Alligator mississippiensis: one gene and its partner. The protein of the gene in region 1 interacts with the protein of each later gene in a pairwise test. Links are inferred from orthologs where the notes say so. Each region holds a gene or a part of one and is shown on either strand. Other genes may lie near its edges. The genes, in order: MIPOL1 and UTP25.

Region 1 (3,915 bases):
CATCAGCATCCCCATACTGAAACATGGCAGCTGGGCACTTTGAACTAAAGCTTATTCAACAAGCTTTAGTTCAAAGAGCCTCACTGCTATTTTTCAGCACAGGGAAATTGATACGGGTGATGCTCTGGGTGCTTTTTAAAGCACCCCCATGCCTCCTGGAGCACATGCATCAATGCCCTATGTATCTCATTATATTTGAATCCCTCCCTCTTGGCTTTCTATTTAACAACTGTCATTGCAACAGCTTCTCTTCAGCCACAGGGGAGGATGCAAATCTTCGTAATATGAGATTGGGATCAATTCTGGGCCCTGTACCAGCTAGTAACAGGCATCAGAGGTGATAATTATCTTCCCTGAGCCTAAAATCATGCCACCTTTGCTATACAGCAAGACCTTGATAATTTGCATTAACAACCAGGAGACAATTGTAAATAAATTAAATATTGTAAATTAATATGTAAAAGCAAGACTACATTACTCAACAAATAACTTTCATTTGACAGTTTTGGCTTAGTTTTAATTACCTTAAAATTCATGAACTAGTTACAAATAACTACTTTGGTAGAGTTTATAAGTAACCGATGTTGTAACCTACGGCCATTCTATAGCCCTCTGCTATTAATTCTATACTGGAAAGTGTGGAGAAATAGCGGTCGCAACAATTTTTCACAATAAGGATCAGCAGGCTTCTGCTGCACCTTATCTCCACTAATTCCCATGTCCCCAGGCCCAGATCCCAAAGTCAGTACAGATCTGGATGACTAGGGTAGAAACACTTTAATAGTCTTCTGGAATTGCAATGGTTCTAAAAGAAACCCTCAGCATACATGCCCCTTTTACTTTCCCCTCTTCCCCACATTGATAAGACATTGCCCCAAAACCTCAGCCCATAGCAGATTGATTGAGTTTCAATTTGTTTTAGGAACATTACCTAATGAATTCACATGGGTGTGAGAAAGTAGATAAGAAAGCATTTCTCCTATTACACAGATTGGGAAACTCAAATAATAATATTAGCTGCTTGAATCAATACACCATTTTAAAATCTGAACTTTTTAAGAGAATGAAGAAAACTGTTTTTATGTGGTTAACTGTTCTTTGTGTCATGGAGTACCACCAATACACTACTCCAAAGAATTCATTACTGACCTTCCCAACTCATGAGTTTATAGGGTAAAGGCCTTCTTTCATTGTCCACAGTAATTCAACAAATCCAGTTCCTACCCTCTGAAACAGCTCACCAATCTTTTCCACACCACAGCTATTACTATCCTTATACAAAATATTTTTCCTAGTACCATTACTTCTTAATGTCTTTCTTGATTTTTATAGCAAGTGTGGTGACTTGAGCACTGTATAAAGACCCCTGTGGAAGGAAGCCTTCTATTCCCAGGGCAACTAATGACAGTGCAAGAATCCTTATGCTCCCCTGCCATTGTGCTTCACAGGAGGCTAGGACTGAGCATCTTCAGAGCAGTGAATAATTTGGTTGCTACAAGCCAAAGCCTCTAACTCAACGGATCCCAAACTGTGGGCTGCCGGGTTTAACTTATGGGAGAGCCCGGGAGAAGGCCTGAGCCCCCTGCCCCCCATAAGAGACAAGAGCCCCCCTGTAAGATTTGAAAATCATAACCTGAGGGGGTCTCAGATTTTATTAAGGCATTGTGATGGGCAGCTCCATTTTTTTTGCAGACTCAAAGTGCATTTTGAACCCTGGGGGACTCCAGCCCCAAATGGGGTCACAACATCAGCAGATGGGGCAGCAGGGCTGGGGGGCCATGGGTTGGGAGTGGGGGCCATGCTGAGGAAAAGTTTGGGAACCACTGCTCTAGCTGCTGTGCTGGCACTTCACAGCTGCAGCCTTTCCTTCTGATATGCGTATTAAGAAACTGAGGGAGACCATCAGTACTTACAGGCCTTAATTCTCTTAACTGGGGGTGGGTGGGAGTAACTTGTAGGCAAGGCACCGCAAGCTGCAAAGTGGTCTTGTATAACAGGTGCCTTTACTGAGCGCAGGGCACGAGCAGAAGTTCCCTGTTGCCCGGTGCCCACACCCGTCCCATGGGCACAGCGGGTGAGCGAGCCCTTCCTGCAGCTCCTGAGAGCAAGTGCCATCAGAGGGCGAGCCCCCCTCCCCGCCAGCTGCCCGGCGAGCCCGTTACCTGCGTCCTCCTCCCGCGGCTCGTGCCAGGCGCCCCGAGGGAGACGCTGCTCCGCGTGTGCAAGCAGCCCTGGGCGCCCGCAGGCTCGGGCAGCGGCAGGCCGAGGAGGGCGCGACGCAGCCCGCCAGGGCACGCAAGGACGAGCAGGAGCAGGAGCAGGAAAGGAGGGCCCAGGCCGAGCGAGGAGGCGGAGCTGGAGCTGCAGCGGCCGGCCAGGAATCCGGTCAGCTGGTCGCGCCTGCTGGGGAGCCGGGAAGCAGTTGGGGCTAGTCTGTCGCTCGCCCGGGGGCGGGAGGCAGAGCCGTGGTACTCCTTGGAGATGGATCCGGGGAAGGAGCTGGAGCTGGAGCTGGCGGGCTTTGCATCTCCCTGGGAGCGGGAGGGCCAAGCGCCTGCGAGGTGTTTTGAGGCACTTGGTGAGAAGGTTACGGGCGCGGAGATCGTAGGAAGTCTGCGGCGTCGCGCTTGGAAGGCGCGGATCTCTGCCGCGCGCCGGGGCTGGAAAATGAGGGGGAAATATTCACTGATCGTTTACTGAACAGCTCCGGGGGGGTCAGCAAGTAAACCATTTGCGGATCCTTCCTGCTGTTATAGAGGCTGGTTTTGTGTCCCAGAGGTGTAGGCGATGCGGTGCTGGGGGAGGAGAGGGGTCGGGTAAAATGCCTTTGGTTTTCAGTGCTTTGGGGACAGTGCCCGGTGGCAGCAGAGGCTGTTTGGCGGGGGAGGCACGGGGGGACTCGCGGGGTATGTAGCCAGTGGGAAAAGGTTTGTAAATTGACTCCCTGCAGGGCTGTGTAATCAATCGTCTTCCAGGCCTCTGACACTTGCTGGGAATAATTTGGATGTGTCTGTTTCACTGCTGAAGTTTTGTCTTTAATGATGCTGTGTTTGTGTTTCTAATAACAGACGTCTCTCCGTGTAACTCCCTGCACTTTGCCTGCTGCTTTATTTTAAATGTTTTAATGATTCTGTCCACGTGGCGCAGCCTCACTGCACAAATGCCCTTTTTGCTGTTGTGGCACCCACTGAGGAATACAAGATCTGATCCGTGACAGGGCCTTCATCTGATGAAGTGCTACAATGAGTCCATCCTGATCCCATGTCTGTTATCCGTATCAAAGTGAACAGTACAGAACATACTCTCTATTCCTAGAACAAAATTAAGAGATGCTCTGGTAGCTTTTTTTTTTCAACAAGCCACTGGGGTATTTATTGAGCAGTGTTGTCCCTGAGCAAAAACAAGGGAATAAATGCAAATGTTAACAAAACATTAATGCTGAGATGTTAATTATGTGAAGGTCAGCACGTTCAAATTTTATTATTTTAGAGGAGCTATTCTATATTCCTGCCACAATCATTACTCCACTTTTATAACATGAATAAGTTCAAGTTACTATTTGTTTTCTGATAAGTACAAGGGAATCAAGTTACATTTGCAGCAGGAACACGTTTGAATTTCCATATTTTTGTGCAATTTAAATCTCAATCTTTACCACTGTGTTAGCATCTTTTGCATGATTCTCTACATGTTTGCATATTGTCTCATTACAATTAAAGGTCTGACAGAGGTTTATTCTAAGCAGTTAAAAGCTACAGTTTCTTTTGTCCATAAAATATCTCTTCAGTCAACATAACTTGTTGATGAAATAGTATAAGATGGAAGGTTTAGCAAAACAATTTATTGGAACTAAACCATAGCTCAATGAATTATCCCTTAAACAACAACATTTTATTGGGTTTTGGCTTCTGATAT
Region 2 (3,915 bases), on another chromosome or scaffold:
CCTCATTGCATGAGGTATCAGATGAAGGCATTTAAAAATACAGTGTCTTTTGTAACTTGTGTCTGCAGAGCTCCCAGGCTGTCACTGTTTTCAGAATGGGAAGAGGAAAAGGGAGTGGAGGAAGTTCAGTTTGGGGTGGTTTCAGCCCCCCCCCCCCCTCGAGGGTGGGGCAGGTGTATTGGAGCTCCCCAGAGGGGAGGGGGAGCTCCAATTCACCCACCCCACCCTTCAGCACCAGCTGGGGAGCCCCAAGAACAAGCTCCCTTTGCTGCCTTTTGTCCCTCCCATTATGACAACAGTGAGCACTGGCAGAGAGCCATGGCCATTGTTGTGGGAACCTGGCTGCAGGCTCCTAGCCCACAGCTAGATTCCCCTTCCCCTGGAGCCAACAATGAACTTCTCTTTGGTCCTGGGGTAATGGCGGAAAAGGCTCTGAGTTACAGCTGGGAGCTGCACTTCTGTCTGCACTGTGAAACACAAGGTGGCACTGCTCTGCTCTGTCCATAACACTTGCATCCAGCCTCATTCTGATGGCACATCTTCAATCAAGTTAATGATTTTGAAACTTTTTTTTACAAATGGCTCAACTTTATCTAGTGGATTTTACAGACTAGCATTTGAAGCCTTTTTTTTTTTAATGGACTATCCAAAAATTTAGACAGCGGCAGCCCTGATCCCACTACTGCAGAGACACCCAAGCTAGCTCTACATGAACCAGCCAGGATACCCACAACAGTGGCAGCGGCACAGCCCCAGCAGTTCGGAGCATGCCCCAGGCTGGTTTACTGTGTCAGGAAAGGTCATTCCTAGTGTTGCCAGGTGTACGCTAATCATCCTACTTATACCCTAACTCCAACTCTTGTACCATGTATGATTGATAATGATAAAAGCGTTCAAAAGGTACGATCATTTTTGAGGCAGTTAACTGATACAGCATATAGAAAATACAAGTCACTCTCCGGTTTGCCGTCAGCACTTTCTTATGCCGGCTTGCGTCGAAATAAAAGACAAGCTTCAACTTTGGTGACCCAGTTGTCACTCACTCACCGGAGAGTCGGTGAGCAACAGAAAGTCAGTAAGAGACTTATTTGCATGGGCACAGTCGTTTTTCAGCACATATGATAATTTTGGGCTTCCAATAGGATCGTTTTATATTTAAGGCCTGGCACACTGGTGGCTCCGGTCTCAACGTAAGGGGGCCGCCCAGGGTTGGAGTCCCACGCCGACTCCTGGCGGGGCAGCCCGGGGGCTCAGCCCCTCAAGCCCGCCTATTTTGAGCGCTGGCGCAGGCGGCTTGCTGCAGGCTTTCTGCCCGTACTACACCGACGTCCTGCCCGGGAAGAGGCGGTGGCGGGCGGGTCTGTGGCCGCGGGGCCGGCCCTGGAGCCTTGCAGAGACAACGCGGGCTGAGGAAGTAGCCGTGCGCTGCGCCCCTGGCGGCCGCGCGGGGACGGACAAGCTCTCCGGCGCGGAGGGGGGGCGGGGGTGACGGCACAGCAGGGCCGGGCCGACGTCAGTTCTCTCGGAACTCCGTCGCGCATGACGCGAGCGCTCGAGAACCCCGCCCCCCTTCGTTGTCGCGCAGCAGCCGCAAAGTGCCTGGCAGACGCATGTGCCTCCCTTTTCCTGCTGTTGCCAGGCCGGGGCCGGCATGGGGAAGCGGCGGGCGCGCGGCCCGGCGTTAGCCGGCCTCAGCAAACGGCAGAAGAGGCACCTCCGCGACTTCGGGGAGCAGCACCCGGTCCGCGACGCGTGAGTGGGACCCACCCGTGGGTTTAGTGCGTCATCGGCACTAGCAGTGACGTCAGTCTGCAATCCCCCTTCCCCCCCGGGCAGCGGCCGGCGCCCTTCCAGCAGCCTGGTTGGGGCGAGGCGGGCACAGCTCCTCCAGGCCAAGCCGTCCGGCTCCACAGCCATGGACCTACTCGCTACCACTGCCCTGGTGCTGCCGGGTCTTGCTCGCCCTGCCTGGGTCAGGCTCCCAACAGCCGGGGGGTAGACATGAGGTCATGCCCATCAGAGGTCATCTCCCTGTGGTGGGCATGAGGTTATTTCCCTGGAGACTGGTTATGAATACTGGAGCATTCACTGGTAGCAGTTATGTGTGAGAGGGAGACCCAGAAAAATCAGAAAAAAAGGCTGAGAAGCGCTCTAGGAACTTTTCTCTTGAGAAGGAAAACGATTGGGTTTCGAGGGCTGTTGCTACCATCTTTTATGGACAGTGGTAGTGATCAAGTTTCACAACACAAAATTCAAGACGTTTCTAATAATTTCACTTTTCGTTCTTGCGTATCTGACAGTACAGAAGTGCTAAAGCCAACCTCTTCCTTCTCATGAGACAGATGTAGAAATGATATTGGTTGACTGGTTTATAGTAAGATTTGTTGACAGTGGTTTTATGTAGAGTTTAGGTTGTGGGTTGGGGTAGGGATGATCCTGCCTCAGGCAGGGGTTTGGCCTGGTTGACCTCTGGAGGTCCCTCAAAGCCTGACTTTTCTATCATTTTCCTGTGCTGCCATCATATGATGCCTGGTCACCTGAACCAATTGGCCCAAACCTGTCATTCACAGTCACTATTGGGGCCTTCTCTTGAATGGCTCACTTCACCCCTGGCACTCGGCTTCAGCCTCCAAACTTGGTTTTAGCTGCAGGGAGACTGAGGGCCTTCTTGCGTGGTAATTTTGGGTGGCTCCTGGAGCTCATAACCCCTGGATTGTCTGCACATTAACACCTGAAACTTGTTTTAAGCACTCGTTATTATGGCTCAAAGTTATACCACTCTAGGGCAGCAATTCCCAAGCTGTAGTATGCAGACAGCCCTGTTGGTGGTATGTGTTAATGGATTTATCATAATTACTTTATGACAAAAATATGCTGGTGATACTTAAGATTGAACTGAAAAATGTGCTGGTGGTACTTACGGTTGTATCATTTTACGTTAGTGGTGCCCAATCTGTCAGTTTGAGAACCACTGGTGTTATCTCTGATCCATGTTACCCAGCTCCTGTTTCGCTATGGTATAGCCACTCTACCCTCGCCTTCTGGCCTGGATAAAGCCTACTGTCCTCCTACCCTTTCCAGTATCTCAGATCCCTGCTCACTATCCCTACTGCCTCCACCGCTGTGCTCACTTGTGGCTGCCCTTGCTCTGTCTTTCCTAGTAGAGAAGGGTTAACCTGCCTGCCCAACCAGTGCAGCAGCTCAGCTGCAGGGATAGCCTGGCAGGTTAACCCTTCCCTACCTGCTCCCCTGGGACAGACATCTGGGCAGCTACAAGTAGGCAGGGGGAAACTGGGGGCAGGGGGCAAGTCTGTAATGGGAGAGGAGATTCTTTTTTTCTAGTCTTCCAGGCCCCTGCTGGCCTAAACACGTGACGGCTCCAAAATTGAGCTAGCACTAACACCCATCAACATTTCTGCCGCTCACAGTGTAAGGGATAACAAAGTCCTTACATTCTTTTGGATAATATAGATTACTCCCTTTTCCCTAGCACTCATTGAAAACTGAAATTGATTTCTGTTTATTTCTTCAGGGTTTCTGGAAGAGAAGTCACTCAAATTTGTGAACTGGTAACATACTCTAATTGTTTTTCATATTCTCCTTTTGTATTGCTGTTATACAAATTATACAGATGTAATGGAAGCTGTCAGACAGGATGAAGTTATTTTAGCTCTCAGGGTAAATTGCAGATAAAAACCTCGTTCCAGAATTTTTCAGTTGTGTTAAGAGCAGCTAGGGAACATGGAAGAAAATATTTAAAATCAAACAAAAACAAAGTTTGCAGTCCAAGACTTACAGCTGTGTATGAAGTCAAGAGAGCCAGGCAGTGACACTGAATGGAAACTGCCCAAGCTTAGTGTTTAATATCTTGCATTTCATTCAGCAATAATGATGACCAACCCATTAGACTTCTAA

Evidence for each region.
Region 2: the proteins of MIPOL1 (region 1) and UTP25 interact in binary tests that used the Homo sapiens proteins (3 or more experiments, as listed by UniProt). The link is inferred for Alligator mississippiensis from reciprocal best matches to the Homo sapiens genes MIPOL1 and UTP25.

The regions. Positions count from the first base shown.
Region 1 is NC_081825.1:258,447,393-258,451,307, reverse strand, and holds the start of MIPOL1 (mirror-image polydactyly gene 1 protein), read right to left. Parts: upstream 2,253-3,915; 5' UTR 2,163-2,252; intron 1-2,162.
Region 2 is NC_081824.1:191,864,533-191,868,447, reverse strand, and holds the start of UTP25 (U3 small nucleolar RNA-associated protein 25 homolog), read left to right. Parts: upstream 1-1,532; 5' UTR 1,533-1,651; coding exon 1,652-1,752; intron 1,753-3,532; coding exon 3,533-3,569; intron 3,570-3,915. UniProt on the Homo sapiens protein: Component of the ribosomal small subunit processome for the biogenesis of ribosomes, functions in pre-ribosomal RNA (pre-rRNA) processing. Essential for embryonic development in part through the regulation of p53 pathway.